6 linked regions of the Callithrix jacchus genome follow. The protein of the gene in region 1 interacts with the protein of each later gene in a pairwise test. Links are inferred from orthologs where the notes say so. Each region holds a gene or a part of one and is shown in the gene's direction. Other genes may lie near its edges. The genes, in order: HOMEZ, DNTTIP1, MED18, PRKAA2, SH3RF2 and AEN.

Region 1 (4,247 bases):
GCAGTGAGCCCAGATTGCACCACTGCACTCCAGCCTGGACGACAGAGTAAGACCCAATCTCAAAAACAAAATTTTTTAAAGTTTCAGACTGCTCTCATGCTGTTTTAATTTACAGTTTACATACAGGTTGTGGGGGTTCAGTATGTGCTCAGATGTTACCTCAAACTTGCTCACAAGTTACATTAAAGCAGAATCACATAAAAGTTTGGATGTAAAAGTACATTTGGTTATAGATTACAGAGGCAACATTCCTAACCCCTTTAGACATCATCTTATGTGCAGGAAAAGGCAAGGGCTAGGGTCATTTACCTTCTAATTTTTAGAGACACAGTGTTACTCTGTTGCCTAGGCTGGAGTGCAGTGGTGCAATCATTGCTCACTACAGCCTCCAACTCATGGCTCAAACGATCCTCCTGCTTCAGCCTCCTGAGTAACTGGGACTACAGGTGCACTCCACCAAGTCCGGCTAATGTTTAAATTTTTTGTAGAGTTAGGGACTCGCCATGTTGTGCAGGCTGATCTTGTATCCTGGCCTCAAGCAATCCTCCCTCTTTGGCCCCCCAAAGCATTGACATTAGGTTTGTGAGCCACCGCACCCAGCCCTTTTATCTTTTAAGGAATATAGTGACTCAGGCAAGAGATACGGAGGACGGTGCCCCATCCTGTTTTGTCTTCAAAAGGTCTTTCCAGAGACTTCAGTCAGAGTCAGAGGCTTTGTGAAGTTATGTTGCCAAGCTGACATAAGCAAGCCTGGCTTCTTATATTTGTTTCTTTGTCTCACGGAAGATGAGGAATCCTAAAATACAAATTTTGTCCATAACTTTATACTGTGTGGGATACTGCTTTGGTGAAGTCCGTTTTATTGTCATCCCTTTCTTTTTGTAAATTAAAAAAAATTTTTTTTTTTTTTTCTTGAGACAAGGTTTCGTTATGCTGCGCAGACTGGCCTCAAACTCTTGGGGTCAAGCCGTTCTCCCACCTCAGTCTTCATCCCTTTCGAGACAGCGAAAAACAAATATGCAGAGCTCCGGGTCCTCTTTTCTAGGGCAGGGAGGGGAGCCTGAGGGTCTGGTAGGTCCCAATGAGGTGACTGCTCCAGCACTTCGTCTTTGGAAACATCCTGTCTAGCGCCAGTTTGACCCGAGGAACGGCCTAAGTCGCCCGCAGGCTCCTAAAGCCCTCGTCTTTCCGGGTGGCAAGACAGCTGATCCATCTCTAGAACAAGTTCCCGGTTGCTTTAGGCGCTTTGTTACAGCTGACGGGGCTGGCGGCAGTTGGGCTCTCCGCTGGGAAAGGCGCAGCTCGAGTGTAAGGCTCGGGAGGGGACACTGAAATGGTCTTCCTGGAAGGCTTCCTTCAGGAGGAAACAAATTGGGAGTTGTTGGCGGTACAGACAGTTCAGCAAAGTGTTCCTCCTTGGGGAATTTCGGAAGGATCCTGGCCCGGTGTACTCCAAGGTCCGGCGCCGATAGGTCGAGGGTAGAGGGAGGTACCAGGCTGGGCAGCTTGGCCCCAGGGGGACATCTTCCCTGCTCCACGCATCCAATAGATGACCCCAGCTGAGGCCCACGTAGCCAATAGCCGACTTCAGCCGAGACCCACGCAGCCAATGGTCGGCCTGCTGCGCTTCGCCCCTGCCCGCCCGCCGGCGCCCACCAATCAGGACTCGGGCCACCTTGGCACCGCCTCTGGACGCCCACCCCACCCATCCGCCCCGCCTCCAACTTGCTCAGCAGGGCTGGGTACACCGGCGCGCTCTCCGGGACTGGGTGGGGGGGCAGTCCCGGTTTCGGCCTTCGCGCGGGTGGGCTCGGAGCGGCCGCACCGGGCAGCAACCCCACTCCCAACTCGGAGACCCCTGCCCTCTCCCCCACTTCCCCCCGGCCCATGGTGCGAGGCTGGGAACCGCCGCCCGGGCTGGACCGCGGTGAGTGATCCCCAGCCCCTTGGACTTCCCCTCCCAGCTCGTGTACGATCTCCGACCTCTGGAGCCCCATCCCCGCGCTGGTGGGGGGAGAATTCTAGGTTCGAAGTCGCCCGGTTCTCTCTTTTTTCTCCTCTGGAGTTTTTGGTTCCCTGTTGTAACTACGGGAGGGGTGAGTGTCTGCGTAGGGGAGGGAAACGTTGGGTTGGGGCGCCCTTGGCGAGAGTAGGATCGAGATTCGCCTGCTTCATGGGGCTCATCGCCCCAAGTGCAACAACTTTTTGTTCCCTGACCCAGTTCGGAGCCTTCTGGACTGCCTGTGAAATGGAGGATAGGAGAAACGTTTCCTTCCCAGCCCCCTCCAACACGCCCCCCCCCCAACCCCCATGACTACCTCCTGGCGACCTCAACACACATATAGAACCTGGCCTTGCTTCTGAGGATCTGGCCTTTGGGAATGAAAGGTTTAGAAGCAATTGCCCCTTCTGACTCCCGTACCCAGCCATACTGAGAAAACCAACCAGGAAACTGAGAACCCAAGTCCTCTGGGGTTCCTAGTGTTGCGTCCTGTTCTGAGACTACTAAACTGAAAGAAGACTCAAGCTGAGACCTGTTTGGTAATGTGGGCCCAGATCAGATTTTTTTTCTTTTTTTTGTCATGTGAACCTCCTTCCCATCGTACACTTGAAGCCTTTTTATATTATACGATTAGGTTAGATGGTAGTAACTGAAAAAGCCAGATTGGGAATTTTAAAGATAATGAATACATATCTTAAACATTATAATTAAAAGTACGTTCATTTCACCAATCTTTTGATGTAGTGGTGAGACTGTTTTTGTGTCTAAGTCAGCTGTTCGGAGTTCCCAATCCTCTTTCTAATATTAACTACACAGGGAGTCTCAAAACTGGGTATGCCCTGAGAACTTTTAAAAACTGTGGATGCCTGGGCCCCACACAGACTATTGAATCTGAATGGGGAGAAGGGTGGCCTTGTTTTTAAGCTTCCCAGGTAATTCCAGTGTGCAGTCTGAGACGAGAGCCACTCTGGCACTTTCATCATCTTTGATTTCCTGTTTTGCTTTATTTATAAAAGTGAAGAAATTTAGACACCTTTGAGTGCAGAGGACTTTCAAGATTAAGTTCCACCCCTCAGTCTTTTACAGTTGTCTTCCTCACTCCTGACTCAACAGTTTTTAAAATGCATACTCTTCTTTGTGTTATGTCTCTCCAAAGCATTTGACTTAGTTTTCATAGGAACAGTTTTTAAAAATCAATATTCCTGAAGGAACAATTTTAATGCAGTGAGTTTTCATAGGTTTATGTGAGATTTAATTACATTATTATATAGACACTGAAAAGGTATGGACATAAGAAGGTTTGTAATCACACAAAACTGGCCCCAGCACACAGGACAACTGAATGAAGCAGGTGATTTTGGCTCACTAGTAGCCTACTAGCCTTTAGTTTCCAGTGCACTGTGGGTATTGGTCATGTAATCCGGTGATCAGTTAAGCCAGGCTCCTGGCCCAGTTGAGCATTGCTCCCTTCCACTCTTTCCAACTAATATCACAAATACCTTGTCCTTTCTAGATGCACTTGAATTCTTGAGTATTCCATCAACTCTTTACATTCATTCACATTAAGCTGTTCATCTTTAAGCAATTGCCACTATTGCCTTTATTAAGTTGGAAGGATATGAGACAGTAATCCTTAACCTGGCTTCTTTTTTTTTTTTTTGAGACACAGTCTCACTCCCTCACCAGGCGCCAGGCTGGAGTGCAGTGGCGGGACCTTGGATCACTGCAACCTCCATCTCCAGGTTCAAGCACTCCTGCCTCAGCCTCCTGAGTAGCTGGGACTACAGTCATGCGCCACGACACCCAGCTAATTTTTTTGTATTTTTGGTAGAGATGGGGTTTCACCATGTTGGCCAGGATGGTCTTGATCTCTAGCTCTAGACCTCATGATCCGCCCACCTCGGCCTCCCAAAGTGCTGAGATTATAGGCATGAGCCACCACACCCAGCATTTTTTTTTTTTTTTTAGACAGAGTCCTGCTCTGTCACCCAGGCTGGAAGTGCAATGGTGTGATCTTGGCTCACTGCAACCTCTGCCTCCCAGGTTCAAGCGATTCACTTGCCTTAGCCTCCCAAGTAGCTGGGATTGCTGGTGACCGCCACTCCCAGCTTTTTTTTTTTGTATTTTTAGTAGAGACGGGGTTTTGCCATGTTGGTCTGGCTGGTCTCGAACTCCTGACCTCAAGTGATCTGCCTGCCTCGGCCTCCCAAAATGCTGGGATTACAGGCATGAGTCATCATGTCCA
Region 2 (3,500 bases), on another chromosome or scaffold:
CGTTTCGTGTTTCTTAGAACACTCCTCTGTTTGCTCTAACTTTATCGCCTACTCTTCTCCGTTGCCCCGCCCCCCCGCAACCTCTGACTGTTGGTGCCTTCCCAAGTTCAATCCTTAAACCCTTTCTCTTTCGTGGTTCACTGTTTTCATAGGTGTTTTCATCTAGTCCTGTGGCTTTGAAGCCAATTCGGCTGCTCATAATTGACACATTTATATCTCAGTCCAGAGCTATATTCACTGTTACCCAGTTCCAATCATCTTCTCACAGCAGCCAGACTGATCTCTGTAAAGATGAATTAGATCATGTCACTCCACCTTTTTTTTTTTTTTTAATGGAGTTTTGCTCTGTAGCCCAGGCTGGAGTCCAATGGCAGGATCTTGGCTCACTGCAACCTCTGCCTCCCAAGTTCAAGTGCTTCTCTTGCCTCAGCCTCCCAAGTAGCTGAGATTATAGGCATGCGCCACCATGCCCAGCTAATTTTGTGTTTTTACTAGAGACAGGGTTTCTCCATGTTGGTCAGGCTGGTCTCAAACTCCTGACCTCAGCCTTCCAAAGTGCTGGGATTACAGGGATGAGCCATCGTGCCCGGCCATCACTCCCCTTTTTAAAACTCTTCAATGACTTTCTTGTTTTAGGCAGAATAAAGTCCTAATGCCTTACCATGACCCACAGAGCCCTACCTGGATCGGCTTCTGCCTGCTTCTTTAACTTCATTTCATCTCACCTCCCTTTTATTGACTCTACTGTAGCTGTTCTGAACTCCTTTCTGGTCCTCTAAACAAGCTCAGGCCATTTCGCTTGCTGTTCTTAGTACCTGGAGTAATCTACCCTTAACTCTATATAGCTGGCTCCTTCTTCAGATCTTAGTTTAAATATCAGAGAGGTCTTCTCCTTGCACTCCTACCTCTGCTAAAATCTTGAGCTTTAAGGACTAATCTTGTTCACCACTGTATTCCCAGCCTTGGAATATGGCTCTTAGTATATGCACTGAGTTTGCTGAATTATTGACTAAATGAATGAACAGATGATAAATGAGCAAACTTCCTGCTCTAATAGAACTTACAGCCTAGTTAACAGACAGGTATGAATTAGATTACCGCACAAATGTATGTACAGTTACACATTGAGACTTCTTCACTCTGAAAAGGGACAAAGTTTGGAGAACTTTGAATCCAATTATGAATTAGCAGCTGTGAGCCATCCAAGCATAGACATGGTGCAGACTATTTGGTATGTGAGTCTAGAGCTCAGACGATAAGCTTTTGTCTACAGCTGAAGACTTTAAAAATTATGGACTCATGGTTTATAGATATTAATTGAAGCTGTGGGAATTTCTAAATGAGAGCAAATAGAATATGTAGTGAGAGGCGATGGGGGAAAAGAACAAGACTGAGGAGGAAAAGCCAGCAAAGAAGGCTAAGAAAGACTGGCCAGAGAAGTAGGAGGAACTCAAGGAAGTGTGTAGAAAAGAGTGTTTCCAGAAGGGGGAGCCCTCAGCGCAGTCAAATGCCACTGGCAGAGATCAGATGAACCCAATTCTCCACCTGCCTGCAAGGCCCCTGCTCATGCACCATCTCCCCTCTGCCCATTCCATCTTGTTCTTCCTCAAATGAGCGAGGTGTTCGCACCTTCAGTCTTCCACACTCCTCCCTGCTGCTGAAACGCTTTACAGCCTCCTTCACACCTCAACTCAGAGGCCCATCTTCTGAGCAAGCCTTCCCTGGCTACTCCCTCAAAGTAGCCCTCCCACTCTGGTGTTTCTCTGTCACATCTGTCTGGGTTTTTTTCTTTTTTTCTCACAGCATCTATCATGATCCACAATTACCATGTTTGTTTCTGTGCTTATTATGCAGGTCACCCACAGAATATAAGCTCCACAAGTGCTTGTCCTAGTTACTGCTGTGTTCACAGCACTTAGGTCCTATGTACTCAATATTTATTAAAAGAAAGACAGCAGGCCAGGCACAGAGGCTCACGCCTGTAATCCCAACACTTTGGGAGGCCAAGGCGAGTAGATCAGAAGGTCAGAAGTTTGAAACCAGCCTGGCCAACATGGTAAAACCCCACCTCTACTAAAAATGCCAAAAAAAAAAAAAAAAAAATAGCCGGGCATGGTGGCATGCCCGTAATCCCAAGCTACTGAGGAGGCTGAGATAGGAGAAGTGCTTGAACCCAGGAGGCAGAGGTTGCAGTGAGCCACTACTGCACTCCAGCCTGGGCAACAGAGTGAGACTTTGTCTCCAAATAAAAAAAGAGGGAAGTAGATAGGGTATGCTTACCCACAGAAACAGTAACTGGTAACACTTGCTCTCTTTCCCTTCAGGCTAAACTACTGTTTTCAGATGGAGAAAAAGTAGTACCCAGATTGACCCATGAGCTTCCAGGAATAAAGGTCAGAGTCACTGTGTTCTGGGGTATTGGAGGGAGAGGTCCTTCAGGCTAGGAAGCAAGTGAAATATGTGGGTCCAGGGAGGTCTCAGGTACCTTCCATTTGTAGGACCAGGTCCAAACAGCATCATTCTAGATGGGCTTCTGTGGCCTGGGTCAGAGCAGGGCTGGAGGGCTGTAGTCCAGGACTCTGTCTTCTGCAACTCCAGCAGACCTGCAGCTCCCAGACACTGGCCTTCTGCTAACTCCCTTCCGTTTTCTTTTAGCGTGGCCGGCAGGCAGAAGAAGAATGTGCCCATCGAGGAAGCCCCCTTCCTAAAAAGGTAAACCATTTTCTTGTTTTATTTTCTAGCTGAAAAGGGCTCTTCAGGCCAGGCGTGGTGGCTCATGCCTATAATCCCAACACTTTGGGAGACCAAACTGGGGAGGATCACTTGAGCCCAGGAGTTTTGAGACCCATCTTGGTGACATAGTGAGGCCCTGTCTCTACAACAAAAAAATAAATTAGCCAGTCATTCTGGCACATGCCTGTTGTCCTAGCTACATAAGAGGCTGCGGTGGGAGGATCACTGAGCCCAGGAGTTCAAGGCTGCAGTGAGATATGATCATCCCGCTGCACTCCAGGCTGAGTGACAGAGGACCCTGTCTCTCAAAAAAGGCTCTTTACCAATAAGAGAAAAAAATGGCTCTTCACTCCACAAAGTACTAGACTTCCTCAAAGCCTTTTTGAGCCTTCCTGGGCATGAGAGGTAGTTTTTCTCCCTGTCCCTGTCAAATATCATTTGATCTCTTTGGAAAACCATCTCTACCAAGTGACCCCGGACCTGCCCACAAGGTATGGGGAGTAACCCCAGGGGCAGGCCTCTGACAGCTGTTCTTTGTGGCAGAGGAAAGGACGGCCTCCTGGACACACCCTGTCAAGCGACCGAGCAGCTGCCGGCGTGGTGTGAGTAGGGACCAACAGTGTGGTGAGACCCTAAGGGAGCAGATGGAGAGAGGGGTACTGAAGGAAAAGAGGCCAGGGTTCTGTGCCTGGTAAAATCAGATCCATCCGCTTAAGTCATCATGGAGGGAGGGTACCCTGGTTTGAGGGGTGAGGAAGGAGGGTAGT
Region 3 (4,059 bases), on another chromosome or scaffold:
TTAAAGCTCACATCTATTCTTTTTTTTTTTAAATTGAGACGGAGTCTCGCTGTGTCACCCAGGCTGGAGTACAGTGGCGCGATCTCAGCTCACAGCAACCTCCGCCTCCTGGGTTCAAACAATTCTCCTGCCTCAGCCTCCTATGTAGCTGGGATTATAGGCATGCCCCACCATGCCCAGCTAATTTTTGTATTTTTAGTAGAGACGGGGTTTCACCATGTTGGTCAGGCTGGTCTTGAACTCCTGACCTTGTGATCTGCCCGCTTTGGCCTCCCAAAGTGCTGAGATTACAGGCGTGAGCCACCGTGCCTGGCCACATCTATTCTTTAGTTTGGCATGCAGAGTACTCCTGGATCTAGGCCTACACCTTTTCCACTCGCCTGCTCTGCCTATGGGGGTAGCCATTCTTTATTCCTTTACTTTCTTTTTTTCTTTTTCTTTTTCTTTTTTTTTTTTTTTTTGGATACAGTCTCTCTCTATCATCCAGGCTATAGTGCAAGTGGTGAAATGTAGGTTTGCTGCAACCTCCGCTTCCCGGGTTAAAGTGATTCTCCCACCTCAGCCTCCCCAGTAGCTGAAAGTACAGGCATGCGCCACCATGCCCGGTTTTTTAGTGTATTTTTAGTGGAGACGGGGTTTCACCATGTTGGCTAGGCTGGTCTTGAACTCCTGAACTCAAGTGACCCGCCCACTTTGGCCTCCCTAAGTGCTAGAGTTACAGGCATGAGCCACCATGCCTAACCCCTCAGTTTGTGTGTGTGTGTGTGTGTGTTTTTAATTTAATTTAATTTTATTTTTCTTTTTTCTAGTCAAGTGCAGTAGTGAGAAGGGGGGAAAGAGTAGAACAAGGAGTTCGATCTGTGTAACTGTGAACAATCAATTGAGATAACTCACTACCTTCGGACCAGCCCAGTTTTTGTTTTTTTTTTTAAGTTCATGATAATCTCTGTAAGTCTTAACAGTTCCAAGAGACTTTCTACACAAGTACATCTCCAGGTTGTCAAACCTAAAAATATTTTCCTAGAGGAAGGCCTGTGACATCAAGGCTTCAGGTAGCTCCCGGAGGAATGCTCCAAAGGAGGGCGCCATCTTTCTTACAGCAGCCCGGGATTTCGCGCATGCGTTTTTGGTTGTCTGTCCGCAATGAAGCTCTTTGGCCTTCTCGGCACCCTTACGTTCCGGAACGGCAGTTTCGAGGTTTGTGAGACTTCGGCTTCCGATCGGAGGTGAAAAGAGGAGGAAGTTGGCTGGTTGCTTCCGTCTAAGGGCTTCCGGGGCTCGGTTAACCGGAGGGCTGGAATCTAATCGTCGCTCAAAGGCGCCTAGGTGCGCGGGTGAATATAATTCCCGGCTTCCTGAGAAGAAGCTAGAGCCTCAAGGAGGTGTGTTTCTAGTGTTTAAATGGACACGTGTTCTGGATGCGGCTTAAAGGGACCTATACACCATCATCTTAAAATAACTTTCTCTTGGCTCTCTTTAAAAGGCATTTTCAGGCCAGCCGCAGTGGCTCTCCCGCCTGTAGTCTAGCTACTTGGGAGGTAGATCGGGAGGCTGAGGATCGCTTGAGCCCAGGAGTTCGAGGCTGTAGTGAACTGGGAACTCCCCATTGCACTCCAGCCTGTGCTGCAGATCGAGATCCTGTCTCCAAAAAACAAAAAGGGAGAGGGGAAGGCATTTTTAGAGAGATGGAATGCCTAGATTCTAGTTTGGTCCAAACTCTGCCACCAACTTGCTCTGTGTATCCTTCTGCCCCTCTCCGAGTCTCAGTATCCTCATCTATAAAATTAAGGGCCCTTAAGTCACTTTTCAGTTCCTCTGAATTTTGTTTCCTCTTTATTATGTCATTAGAGCCACATAGCCTCCGAAATTAAAAAATACTGGCCTCGGCTGGACGCGGTGGCTCATGCCTGTAATCCCAGCTCTTTGGGAGGCCGGATCACCTGAGACTCACCTGAGGCCAAGGAGTTCAAGACCAACCTGGCCAACATGGCAAAACCCCATCTCTACTAAAAATACAGAAAAAGCCGGGCGGGCGTGGTGGCACATGCCTGTAATCCCAGCTACTCGGGAGGCTGAGGCAGGAGAATCGCTTGAATCCTGGAGGCGGAGGCTGCAGTGAACAGAGATCACCCCATTGCACTCCAGCCTGGATAACAAGAGTGAAACTCCATCTCAAAAAAAAAAAATTGGCCTTATTTTATAAGGAATACATTGAGTCCCAGGGTGAGGGGTTGTAGGACTTTCTCAAGATTGCACAGGTAACTTGGAAGTTTCAGAACTTGAGACTAGAAGGTTATGGTATAACTCCATGATTAGATCTCCCTTTTATATTTCTGTATTATCAGTTCCTGGAACTGGCCATATAAGGAGATACTCAGACGTTTTTGAATGAATGAATCTTTTGATTTGAAGGCTAGTGCCACAACAGATCTGGTCTTTCTCCACCACTCTGATGTATAAACAAGTGAATTCTTTTTCAGGTATATCTCATGCCTTACCTGACTGGGCATTCTGAGTTGTGTTGTCTTCAACTTAGACACCATGGAGGCACCTCCAGTCACCATGATGCCTGTCACTGGGGGCACCATTAACATGATGGAGTACCTGCTGCAGGGTAAGTGAACCAGGGAACTTGGATTACCTGTTTTCCTCTTCTCTGTTCAGCTTCCGTGAAGATGAGAGACTTAACACAAAAGCAGCCTGCACAGTTTCTGGCAATCAGCTATGTTTTTAATTGTTACTTCATATTATAGTTTTATATGCATTAAACATATTAAATTTGTCATCATAACATATTTAAGTGTACAGTTCAGTAGTGTGAAGTATATTAACATTGTTAAGCAACAGATCTTTAGAACTCGTGTTTATTGTGAATAGCTTGAAAAAATACTTAATAGAACTTTTTTTCCTTTGAGACAGAGTCTCGATCTGTCACCCAGGCTGGAATGCAGTGGCACAATATTGGCTCACTGCAACCTCCACTTCCTGGGTTCCAGGGATTCTTACATCTCAGGCCTCCGAATAGTTGGGATTACAAGTGTGCATCACCATGCCCACCTAATTTTTGTATTTTTTAGTAGAGAGTTGAGGTTTTGTCATGTTGGCCAGACTGGTCTTGAACTCTTGGACTCAAGTGATCAACTTACCTTGGCCTCCCAAAGTGCTGGGATTATAGGCATGAGCCACTGTGCCCAACCTAAAATAGTTTTTCATCCTGTAAAACTGCAACTCTGTATCCATTAAACACTGATTCCCACTCCCCTGTAACTATCCCTTAGCAACTATCTTTCTAGGTCGTGTTTCTCTGATTTTTTTTTTTAGATGGATTCTTCACTCTTTTGCCCAGGCTGACTGCAAACCTCCATCTCCCAGGTTCAAGCAATTCTCCTGCCTCTGCCTCCCAAGTAGCTGGGACTACAGTGTGCACCACCATGCCTGGCTAATTTTTATATTTTTAATAGAGATGGGGTTTCACTGTGTTGGCTAGAATGGTCTCCATCTCTTGACCTTGTGACCCGCATTCCTCGGCCTCCCAAAGTGCTGAGATTCCAGGCATGAGCCACCACGCCCAGCTAACCATTTCATTTTCATCGTAGGGTCTTAGCTCATCTGTCATCCCCTTAGAGAGTCCTCTGACCACTCCAACATCTCAGAGTAGTTTCCTCCCCTTTGTCCCCTCCAGTTCCTCTCCATCTGATTCTCTTTTATTTCCTTGTTTTCATTTACTTGTTTGGTTATGTGGAGACAGAGTCTTGCTCTCTCACCCAGGCTGAAATGTAGTGGTGCAGTCACAGCACACTGCAGCCTCAACCTCCTAGACTCAAGCAATCAATCCCACCGCATCCGCCTCCTCAGTAGCTGGGATTACAGGCCCATGCTACCACGCCCAGCTAATTATTATTTTTTATTTTTAGTAGAGATGAAGTCTCACTATGTTGCCCAGGCTAGTCTCGAACTCCTGAACTCACATGATTCCTCCCACCTCAGCATCCCCAGTGTGCTCGAATTGCAGGCATGAGTCACTGCACTCAGCCTTACTTATTTATTTCTTGTTTCCAC
Region 4 (3,500 bases), on another chromosome or scaffold:
ATATAACTTATTCATTGGTACATTATAAAAATGTTTATACATATTGCAATGGTAAACTCAAGTCTTTCTACAGTGATCAATGTGTGATTTTAAAAGTTAACAGAATCCTATGAGAGAAAATATGGTAAAAATATTATTGCAAATAGCAGATCCAGTATTAGCTTAGTCCATTTGGGCTGCTATAAGAAAAATGCAATAACGTTGATGGCTTATGAACAACAGAAATTTATTTGTCACAGTTCTGAAGACTGTGAAGTCCAAGATCAAGGTGCCAGCAGATTTGGTATCTGGGTGAGGGTCTGCTTCCTGATAGACTACTGTATGCTCACTGTGACTTCACATGGTGAAAGGGAGGGGGGATCTCTCTGGGGTTGCTCTTATAAGGGCACTAGTCCCATTCATGAGAACTCTGCGCTAGTGACCTAATCACATCCCTGAAGTTCCCACCTCCTAATACTATCTCCTTGGGGGTTAGGATTTCAACACTTGAATTTTGAGAGGCTGTAAGCATTCAGTCCATTGCAAAGAGTTTGAACAATACAGCAAATGATGTAAACAATTGCCATTTTTATGTAAACATTATATCCTTTTTATTGGAATAGTAGAGATTTACTTTGTTACCTCAGACTCAGGTTTGAGTTTGATAATATGCTGTCATGGGAATTGTAATGCTGTAGAAAGGTAAGAGGAAAAAAAGAAATAACACTATAAGCATAGGTTATCTGGATCAAAGCTAATTTTAGCCATATGAGCTAGGAAGTGATGAGAGTGAAAGTGGTAAATGCACAGGATAATGTGATACAGGATAAATGCTGTCTATACAGTACTAATTAAGTACTTTAATGTTTAAAAAAAATTTTTTTTTTTTGGAGACAGAGCATCTTTTTCACCCAGGCTAGAGTGCAGTGGCACAATCTTATCTCACCGTACTGCCTCCTGGGTTCAGGTGATCCTCCCACTTCAGCCTCCTGAGTAGCTGGAACTACAGGTGTTCACCACCATCCCTGGCTACATTTTATATTTTAAGTAAAAACAGAGTTTCACCATGTTGCCTAGGCTGGCCTCAAACTCCTAGCCTCAAGCAATCCACCCACCTCAGCCTCCCAAAGTGCTAGCATTACAGGTGTGAGCTACAGTGACTGGCCTTAAATATTCTTTAAAGTTGTGCCAGGGCTAAAAATTCTATTATATGTATATTTTCTTATACTAGTTCTTTAAGAAAAAGATTTAACCTATACACTATAGTATTTTTTCAAGTTTATGGTCATCTACTTTTGTTTCCCTCAAAAATCAACCACAGAAAGTGTTATATTTTTTAATTAGTATGTTTCAGTTAAATGAATTTATGACAAATAAAAATACCCTATTCACTTGCCAGACTTGAATAGTAATTGGCTAGCCTAATTATTCTCTTTGAGGAGCAACCACTGAATATTGGGGAGTGGCCATGGACTTCAATAAAGACCTTGGAAATGAATATGTACTGAAGGTAGACTACCTAGATATAGAAGTAGGATACATATAGAGAGAAATAGTGATGCTTGCATTTTAGGTTTGTGTTGCCATCTTTTTTTAGATTGTATGCAGGTCCTGAAGTTGATATCTGGAGCTGTGGTGTGATCTTGTATGCTCTTCTTTGTGGCACCCTCCCATTTGATGATGAGCATGTACCTACGTTATTTAAGAAGATCCGAGGTGGTGTCTTTTATATCCCAGAATATCTCAATCGTTCTGTCGCCACTCTCCTGATGCATATGCTTCAGGTCGACCCACTGAAACGAGCAACTATCAAAGACATAAGGTGATTATTCTTTTTGTTTCTGTTACGTATATTTTCTCATAGGAATAATAATGATGTTAATTGAATGATTCTCCTAAAGTCTCATTTCCTGCCCTCGCCACCTCACCCCTGGCCAATGAAGAGAAGGTGAAGTACCAGTGCTTCAGCCACACTGAACTTGTCCTTGTTTCTTAAACCTAGCATAGATTTTATGTCTTTATGTCTTTGTTTATATTATTCTCTTTGCCTTGATACCTTTTCTGTTTTCTTTTTTGACCTGATAGACTTCCATTCATTCATTAACGTTCCACAGGTGCTTTCATTTCTATTTTATCAACATTTTGTTCATGCTTTTCTTATTTAATTCTCATCCTGTATCTGGTTGTTTCTCAGTGTGTCTTTTTTTCTCTCTTAAATTATGACTATTAGGGTAAAGAGTGTGTCTTATTCATCTTTGCCTATATAATGCTAAAAGGCCTGGAAATATGGTTATGTTTAGAAAGTGTCTGAAAAAAATTTCAAATGGAAAAGTAGAGTGAGATTTATGTATTTTACATATGGTTAAAAACATAAAGCATAAAAAGTTTTGCTAAGTTTTTGAATTCAATGGCTGCTAGTGGGCTTACTGTGAAGGCTCTTGTGTCACGTGAGAAACTTTGGAAAGTGCCATTGCTAATGCACCTATGAATATAACCTTTGTATATAACATATCTTTGTATAGTAGCAAGATGATTCATTGCATTCTGCTTATTACTTATCAAGGCATGTTTCTTAGAGGTTTTTTGTTCTTACCTAAGATTTCACCCATGTTTGTTTACAAGCACATTCTTTTGACATCTTTCCAGAACTCTTCCTCTTCTCTTCATTAGCCAGCAAAGACTTCTTTTTTTTTGAGGCAGGGTCTCACTCTGTCACCCAGCCTGGAGTGCAGTGGTGTGATCACAGCTCACTGTAGCCTCAACCTTCCAGGCTGAGATGATCCTCCCATTTTAGCCTCCTGAGTGTCTGAGACTATAGGTGAAAGCCACTACACCCAGCTAGTTATTTTTTGTATTTTTAGTAGAAATGGGGTTTTGCCATGTTTCCCACACTGGTCTTGAACTCCTGGGCTCAAGCGATCACCCATCTTGCCCTGCCAAAGTGCTGGAATTACAGGTGTGAGTCACGGCACCCAGTCCCAGAAAAGATTCTTTTGAGACCTCTGACCTTTGGAATTTATTTCCTTCCCTCCCCCCCTTTCCCCCCCTTTCTTTCTTTCTTTTCTTTTCTTTTCTTTTCTTTTTTCTTTCTTTCTCTTTTATTTTTGAGATGGAGTCTTACACTGTTGCCTGGGCTGGAGTGCAGTGGCATAATCTTGGCTCACTGCAGCCTCCACCTCCTGGGTTCAAGCAGTTCTTCTGCCTCAACCTCCCGAGTAGCTGGGGTTATAGGCACCACCACCACACCCAGCTAATTTTTTGTATTTTTAGTAGACACAGGGTTTCACTGTGTTGGCCAGGCTATGATCAAACTCCTGACCTTGTGATCTGCCTGCCTTATGCTCCCAAAGTGCTGAGATTATGGGCGTGAACCACAGCGCCCAGCCAACCTTTGGAATATTTAAATGATGGCTGAGGTAGCTGTTTATGTGACTGCTGCTGATTTCTTGCAAGCAAGGACTGATGATTCCTTTTGGATTTACGTATCATTTTCTTTTCCCAGCCTTTCTTTAGCACTCCAA
Region 5 (3,500 bases), on another chromosome or scaffold:
GTTCATACACAGCTGAATGTGTGTGGCTCACACCTGTAATCCTAGCACTTTGGGAGGCTGAGGTGGAAGGATCGCTTGAGCTCAGGAGTTCAAGACCAGCCTGGGCAATATAGCGAGACCTCATCTCTAAAAAAATTAAAGGAAGAAGCTGAGCATGGTGATACATGCCTGTGGTCTTAGCTACTTTTGGGGCCGAGGTGGGAGGATGGCTTGAGCCGGGGAAGTTGAGACTGCAGTGAGCTACAGTCTCCAACTGAACTCCAGTCTAGCCTGTCTCAAGGAAATATATATATATATATATTTGATTTGAAAAAAGAAAAAACATTCACACTTAGATATGCAGAGTTGCATCCCAAAAGCAATTGCTCACACTTTCCTTAATATACTCCCTCTCCACCTTAGCAAAATCTTGATCGGCATGAAGCTTCGACTGCTTGCACTGTATGCACATGTAATAAGAAAGCATTAACTCTCCGGGAAATTAGGAATTGACAAGATAAATAGATAAGGCATCGGACCAATTTTTCACACATTTACAGGAGCCTAAGGACATGTCTGCCTGGTGCTTCTTTGACTTCCCAGGTCCCGGAGGCTTTCTCTTTCTGTCTTTTCCCAAGGTGAGGCTGGCAAGCTATCAGTCTCTCCAGAGCAAAGAGAAATGACGGGAGAATTGACCGTGTGAACCTCACAGGGCTGTCGGTAGAAAAATAAATGTCTAAATTGAAAGGTCACAGTTGTGTAAATAGTGACTGGCTTGCTTGCAGCAGCTGAGGACACCGACTCTGTTAAGTGAGTGTCCTGCTTTTCATGTACACATCTGGTTTGATAGAGTCACGATGCAGCCTGGCCTTGGCTCAGGCCCTCTGTGCTGGACACAAATGACTTTGATTCAAACTCGAGTCTGTGGAGTGTCACAGAAGACTAGCAGCTCTGGCTGGGATAAAACCTGCAGCTCTCTAAATGCTCTAAACCCTTATGGAGAAAGGGGTATCTCTTCCACCTCCCCACAGAATGCAATGAACTCCCGATTCCCCAGGTCAGCTGCAGGACATATGTAGCTGAGGGCAGGAGATCTCCTGCCTGCCAGAGAATTTCAGGGGAAGAAATGGCCTTTTACTGAGACAGTTCCATTTCAATTAAAAAAAAAAAAAAAGGAGAAGAAGAATGAGCTCAGGAAGTGACAAAACCAAACTCTTGGTTAAAGGATATGCTATCCTTTAACCAAAAATAAGGATAGCTTACAAACACGCAGCATTGATCATGGTCCAGGCACTATCCTAACTCTTAGCACACCTAATAGAATGCAATCCTCACAGCAGCCTGATGACATACTGTTATTATCTCCAGCTTACAAATGAGAAAACTGAGGTGCAGAGAGGTGATGTGACTTACTTATCCCAGGCTCCCCAGGAGGTCTGATTCCAGATCTTCTGTCATGAGACATTGCCAAGCCCATCCTCACAGCCCTCACTGTGGAATACCCTTTCCAAATTCGCCTCTGTCTGCTGTTGTGCTTGCCTAGCAGTCACAGTGATTTCCACTCACCCTTTCTCCCTGCAGGCCCCGACAAAAAGCGACCCCCCACCACATGCCTAAAGCTTCTGTTAGGATTTTCACAGCAAGTCGCTGGTCAGACTTTCCCTTTCTCTTTTCTTATTTTCCTCTCTCCCAGTCTTTTCAGTTGCCTCTCCTTTGTGTTTCTCAATCTCCTGTCTCTGATTCTGTCATTTGTTTCCTATTTGGTCTGCCTGCCTCTGTGTCTGCTTCGCGTGTGTGTGTGCGTGTGTGTGTGTGTGTGAGAGAGAGAGAGAGAGAGAGAGAGACCAAAGGCAAATGGAAGCAATATACCTTCTGCTGACAGCCCATCTACACACACACACACACACCATTCAGCCAGAGAGCTATTTGCTGCCAGCATCAGTAAACAGCACTAAAAAAAGAATAAAGTCACCTTTGAAAGACCCCAAGAGAATGTGAATGTAGTCAGATTAGGAAAGCACTTGTCTATTCTGGGATACCAGGATGCACTGCTTACCCAGCCCCACCCAACCTACTGCTAGCTGCCCCTGCTGCTAACCTCTCTGTCCTGTAATTCCCCAGATGGATCCCTGCAGAGACCCGTCCAGTCCGGGATCCCCACTCTCGTGGTAGGCTCCCTCAGACGCAGCCCCACCATGGTCGTTCGGCCTCAGCAGTTCCAATCCTACCAGCCACAGGGGGTCCCCTCCTCCCCCTCAGCCATGGTGGTGGAGATGGGGCCCAAGCATGCCCCCACGGGGGAGCCCGCCCTCACATGCATCAGCAGGGGCAGTGAGGCCCGGATCCACTCAGCAGCCAGCTCTCTCATCATGGAAGGCAAGGAAATCCCCGTCAAGAGTGAGTCTCTGCCAAAACCACCTGCGTCTGCCCCACCATCCATCCTGGTGAAACCAGAAAACTCAAGAAATGGCATCGAAAAGGTAGGATCAGAGTGACAGTGGGGGCCTGACTCTTTCGATCCTCCGCTTTGCACAGTGTCTCAGCTCTGAGATTTTAGTGTTGGTGGACAAGGAACCAAAATTGCAGCCTCAAAAGAATCCTCACACATAACACTCCTCCTCCCCAGCTCCCCACTGTGCTATGGCCAACATCCCTACATCATTCACACCCTCCCTACATGTGTTACTGAGTCTCCTTGATGTTTCCTGAATATTTTATACATCTTTTGAGGCCCCAAAGCGGCTTGTAACAAAGATGACTTTGGCATTAGACAAATCTTGTTTTGAATTCCAGCTCTGCTGCTTGCTAGCTGGGTGACTTTGGTCAAAATACTTCACCCTTCTGAAACACTTATTTTGCATAATCTGTAAAATGGAAGTAGAATAAGTAATGGCCACACAGTATTGAAGTGGAGAAAAATGAGATATGTGAAGTGCTTACGTAGGGTTTGACACATAATTATGCATTGTATAAAAGAGGCAACTGGCTGGGCGCAGTGGCTCACGCCATTTGGCCAGCACTTTGGGAGGCTGAGGAGGGCCAATCACCTGCGGTCAGGAGTTCAAGACCAACCTGACCAACGTGGAGAAGCCTGTCTCTACTAAAAATACAAAATTAGTCATGCGTTGTGGCGGGCGCCTGTAATCCCAGCTACTCAGGAGGCTGAGGCAGGAGAATCACTTGAACTCAGGAGGTGGAGATTGCAGTGAGCCGAGATCGCACCATTACACTCCAGTCTGGGCAACAAAAGTCTCAAAAAAAGAAAGAGGCAACTGAGACACAGGATAATGTAAGTTACATCGAGGTCACACTGAATGGTAATGACTCCAACTAACTTATTGTGACCTCCGTGGCAGAGGTCAGATCTGTTAACTTCTAGTCCAGGACTTTTCCCACTAAAAGACATAAGAGTTTTTGTAAAAGGCTTACGTTCTTGATAATATCTTTGAAGCAGAAGGGATGGTGGGAAGAGAAGACAGTAAGAAAGTTAGGTGATGCTTGTTGCTGTCTTTTAACTTATG
Region 6 (3,500 bases), on another chromosome or scaffold:
CTTTTCCTCTTATTCTCTTCTTTTCTCCTCGTTTCCTTCATCTATTATTAATATAAAAATGTTTAATCATTATAATTTCAGCATAAGTTGAAAAGGTCAAAAATTCCCTCAATGAACGGATTTGATAGTTTTGGGGGTATTTATATTAAAATGCTTTTCTCTCACATGTTACTATAGAAACTTCCCTTCAGACCAGGCCAGACAGCTGGTCTGCTTTTTGTACTTTTCTTTCCAAAGCAGTGCTTTTCTTTATGAATTCTCTGGGGCAGCTATCATTTATCACATCAATAATGTCCCATAGCAACAGTTGTTTTTTTTTAAAAAGATGTATTCACTTTCTGCTTATTTTCTTTATGAACAAAGGGCCTACTTTCCTTTCAAGAAGATAAGTGAGCTCTTATTGGCTGGAAAGGAAGAAGCATCCTTTCATTGGTTGGTGTGCATTGCCTTGTCAACCAATAAGAGGATGCCATTTATCCTTTTCTGACTAGCTGAGTGAGCAGGGTACCCAGAAGGATTGGATCTGCCTTAGTTCCATCCAGTAGCAAAGGACAGAACACAGAGTCCTGGACTCAGGATCTGGAATTGACTTTGGCTAACCCAGATTGCATTGACTTTTCTTCCTATCTGTTCATAGCTTACTTCAACATACCTGCCTTATACATTGTCCTATAGCTTTTTTCCCCTTCATTTTGGGAGATACTGTGATTATCTTTCAAAGTCAGTGCAGGTTATTGTTACCAGGGTCCAGAAAATTTTGTGATTTCCCCTAAAAGTAGAGAATTGGTCCTCATTATTAGAGATGTGGTGAAAACTTTTGGGGATGAAGATGGAAAGCTAGAATTTAGAAGAGCTGCATTGCTTGTGACGCAGAATGGATAGTCAGCTTTTGGATTCACTCTGCTCAGCTTTCAGCTTTGGTATTTGGTGCCCTCTTCTCCACTTTGATGTTTTATTTGTTTGCTTTTCTACTTTCATTCTTCAGAGCTGCGCCTTTTGCCTGAATTTTCAGTGACAAACAGAAAAGCTGAATGGATGGAGACAATGACTCTCTAATTCAGTGTAAGAGCTGATTCATCGCTTCCCAGGAAGACTTGCTGCAGGTAGGTGATGGGGATCCTGGAACTGGAGATCGCCCCAGTCCATAGCATTGGCGTTGCGCAGGTCTGGTTTTTTTTCTTTTTATCCCTGCATCAAATAATCCCACTCAGAGATGCTGGCATTGGTCCCCACTTTCCTAAAAAGAGGGGGAGTCAAAGTTCTTTCCCTTTCAGGATGGAAACTCTCTGACAGCAGCCTGGAAGAAGCCTTACTGTGAGTACAGACTGCTTCGGTCAGTCTTTTTTTGGCTTTTGGCTGGAGGGGATACTGGGAGTGGATAGATAGATGCCTGACCATGACGGTGCTATCAAGAGCCATATACTTTATTGGCCCCATCTGTGCCAGAGTTCAGAGGTACCATGAGCCCTAGGGCTAGACTATAAGCCCTTCAATATTAGGAGCTATGTCTTGTACCCCTTTAATTCCCTCAAATTCAGTTGTGCTTAAAGTAGGGCTGAACAAATGTTTGAACTAAATCCTACTGGCTAGTATTAGGACAAATCCCTTAACTTCTTCTTTATGAGAACGGTAGCTCTAGACCTGGACCCTCCCCCTCCAAATCAAAAGCTTCATATTCCCTAGCCCTCTTCACAAAAGATAAATTAAGACTCAGTTAATTGTTACCATGGTAACATGGAGTGGCCACACTGAGGATCCCCATCACCCATTACTGTCATGAGGTAAAAGAGAGGAGGGGTTTGGGGATCATTGTCATGGAAGAAACCATGGAAACAAGCGTTGCTAAGGGAACAGCTCTAAATTCAGAGGAGAAATTAGAAGTGGGGAGTGGAAGTTGGTGGGCTCAAGGGCAGGTCATTTTTTCAAGATCTATTTCTTTGAGACTATAGCAGCCTCTTTTGTTGCTTGCCTCTTCTCCCAATTCAGATAGAGCTCAGAATTAAAGAATTTTGAAAACTAGGGCCACAGTCAGCTCAAGTCCATCTTCACTGGCTCTGAAAGGAAAAAGCCAATGAAAATGGACTGACCCTGTTCACACTTCACAGTCCTACTCTGTCCCTGAACTTTGCTTGTTTGCCAACCAGTTTCATCTGTCATGAGCCAGGCTGCATGCAAGGCACTGGGAAGAATAATGAGCGGGAGTCCCTGCTCTCATAGTGAGCTTCTAGTAGGGCAGTGGCTGGGTGGTAGCTTTTTAGAGCCAGGCTGCTCATGTAGGCTACATCCATCAGTCCTGCATGGCGACATTCAGAGAGATGCTGTGGTTCTCTCCAAACTCTTTGTGATGCATTTTAGCTTGTCTATTACTATTGAAGCTTATTTGACAGCTCCCTAAAAAGGCCTGTTTTCCTAGAAGCACCTAGGGTGTTAAGCTCTCCCGTTAACCAAGGGGTTACCTTAGTTAGCATTGTTCTCTAAAGGTACACTCAGGTCCTTGCCTCTGAAACAATACAAGGATGAAGGACTAACTCTCTCTCAACAGTGGCAAAGAGACACGGGGCTACTTTTTAAATTATTATTTTAAAAGAAATTAAAGACCATAAACCCATCTGTTTCTTGAGAGATTAAAGGATGGGGAAGGGAGGTCTCAGTTTTCTGCAGCTGGGAATTGCAGAGCCATCACCTGACTGGGGAGTGGACGAAGAGGGTCTTAACAGCTTCTGGGGAAGGGACACCTCTCCCTTACATCTTCCACAAAAGAACATCTTGGGTTTCCTCAGGGCCATCGCAGAACTGTGCCCTGTCTCAGGCTGACAATTGAAAGGGCTGGGACTCAGAGCTGGGCACTGCCCGTCTTCTCCATGCCCCCCGCACTGCTCTGAGCATCTCCATCACCAGGCAAGCCCTTTCCTATTCTGGATAGAGAGAATAAATCCAAGGATGGAAGGGTGGGCTAAAGAAGAAGCAGTCACAATTAAAAAGAGAGAGAATTAAAAGTAGCACCAATAGGGAAAGGTAATTATCCTTCAGTTGCTGCAGAAATACAATTAGGGCCGTGCTCTCTGAGCCACCAGGATATTGTGGCTTTTGCTAATTAAGAAGCGGATGTGCCCTGCCAGCACAATTAGAGGCTGGTCCAGGCAGCACGGGCTTGCCTCTCCTCCACCAGTGCCACACTGCAAGGGAAACGAACCAGGGAGCCTATCGTTGTGCCTGTGGGGAGGGGATGACTGGGCCAGGATTCCACCAGCCTCCTGTCCACAACCATTTCCCCTTTTCCTTTCTTTCTGCTCTGCTTACCCCAGCACCACCACTCTGACTTCATTCTGAGCTGTGCTTCCAGTGCTCCCAGCTCTCAGTAAACACTGGAAGAATTTTCACCATGGGCCATGCCCACAGACTTCCAGAAAGCGGAGGCACAGGTAGAGGGATCACCATTTCTGAGCTCTTCTCTCCCTTCTCCGAGGCAATTCCATGCTTTATGATTAGCAAAGAAAAGA

Evidence for each region.
Region 2: the proteins of HOMEZ (region 1) and DNTTIP1 interact in binary tests that used the Homo sapiens proteins (3 or more experiments, as listed by UniProt). The two-hybrid records come from large-scale screens. The link is inferred for Callithrix jacchus from reciprocal best matches to the Homo sapiens genes HOMEZ and DNTTIP1.
Region 3: the proteins of HOMEZ (region 1) and MED18 interact in binary tests that used the Homo sapiens proteins (3 or more experiments, as listed by UniProt). The two-hybrid records come from large-scale screens. The link is inferred for Callithrix jacchus from reciprocal best matches to the Homo sapiens genes HOMEZ and MED18.
Region 4: the proteins of HOMEZ (region 1) and PRKAA2 interact in binary tests that used the Homo sapiens proteins (3 or more experiments, as listed by UniProt). The two-hybrid records come from large-scale screens. The link is inferred for Callithrix jacchus from reciprocal best matches to the Homo sapiens genes HOMEZ and PRKAA2.
Region 5: the proteins of HOMEZ (region 1) and SH3RF2 interact in a two-hybrid assay, tested with the Homo sapiens proteins (2 studies listed by BioGRID). The two-hybrid records come from large-scale screens. The link is inferred for Callithrix jacchus from reciprocal best matches to the Homo sapiens genes HOMEZ and SH3RF2.
Region 6: the proteins of HOMEZ (region 1) and AEN interact in binary tests that used the Homo sapiens proteins (3 or more experiments, as listed by UniProt). The two-hybrid records come from large-scale screens. The link is inferred for Callithrix jacchus from reciprocal best matches to the Homo sapiens genes HOMEZ and AEN.

What each region holds. Positions count from the first base shown.
Region 1 is NC_133509.1:57,627,926-57,632,172, reverse strand, and holds the start of HOMEZ (homeobox and leucine zipper protein Homez), read left to right. Parts: upstream 1-1,447; 5' UTR 1,448-1,549; coding exon 1,550-2,096; intron 2,097-4,247. UniProt on the Homo sapiens protein: May function as a transcriptional regulator.
Region 2 is NC_133506.1:41,039,845-41,043,344, forward strand, and holds part of DNTTIP1 (deoxynucleotidyltransferase terminal-interacting protein 1), read left to right. Parts: intron 1-2,324; coding exon 2,325-2,393; intron 2,394-2,655; coding exon 2,656-2,712; intron 2,713-3,276; coding exon 3,277-3,335; intron 3,336-3,500. UniProt on the Homo sapiens protein: Increases DNTT terminal deoxynucleotidyltransferase activity (in vitro). Also acts as a transcriptional regulator, binding to the consensus sequence 5'-GNTGCATG-3' following an AT-tract.
Region 3 is NC_133508.1:65,000,426-65,004,484, forward strand, and holds the start of MED18 (mediator of RNA polymerase II transcription subunit 18), read left to right. Parts: upstream 1-1,259; 5' UTR 1,260-1,326; exon of another isoform or gene 1,327-1,382; intron 1,383-2,480; 5' UTR 2,481-2,541; coding exon 2,542-2,614; intron 2,615-4,059. UniProt on the Homo sapiens protein: Component of the Mediator complex, a coactivator involved in the regulated transcription of nearly all RNA polymerase II-dependent genes.
Region 4 is NC_133508.1:93,774,051-93,777,550, forward strand, and holds part of PRKAA2 (5'-AMP-activated protein kinase catalytic subunit alpha-2), read left to right. Parts: intron 1-1,576; coding exon 1,577-1,801; intron 1,802-3,500. UniProt on the Homo sapiens protein: Catalytic subunit of AMP-activated protein kinase (AMPK), an energy sensor protein kinase that plays a key role in regulating cellular energy metabolism.
Region 5 is NC_133503.1:44,557,051-44,560,550, forward strand, and holds part of SH3RF2 (E3 ubiquitin-protein ligase SH3RF2), read left to right. Parts: intron 1-2,100; coding exon 2,101-2,459; intron 2,460-3,500. UniProt on the Homo sapiens protein: Has E3 ubiquitin-protein ligase activity. Acts as an anti-apoptotic regulator of the JNK pathway by ubiquitinating and promoting the degradation of SH3RF1, a scaffold protein that is required for pro-apoptotic JNK activation.
Region 6 is NC_133507.1:17,840,927-17,844,426, forward strand, and holds part of AEN (apoptosis-enhancing nuclease), read left to right. Parts: exon of another isoform or gene 1-985; 5' UTR 986-1,213; coding exon 1,214-1,314; intron 1,315-3,500. UniProt on the Homo sapiens protein: Exonuclease with activity against single- and double-stranded DNA and RNA. Mediates p53-induced apoptosis.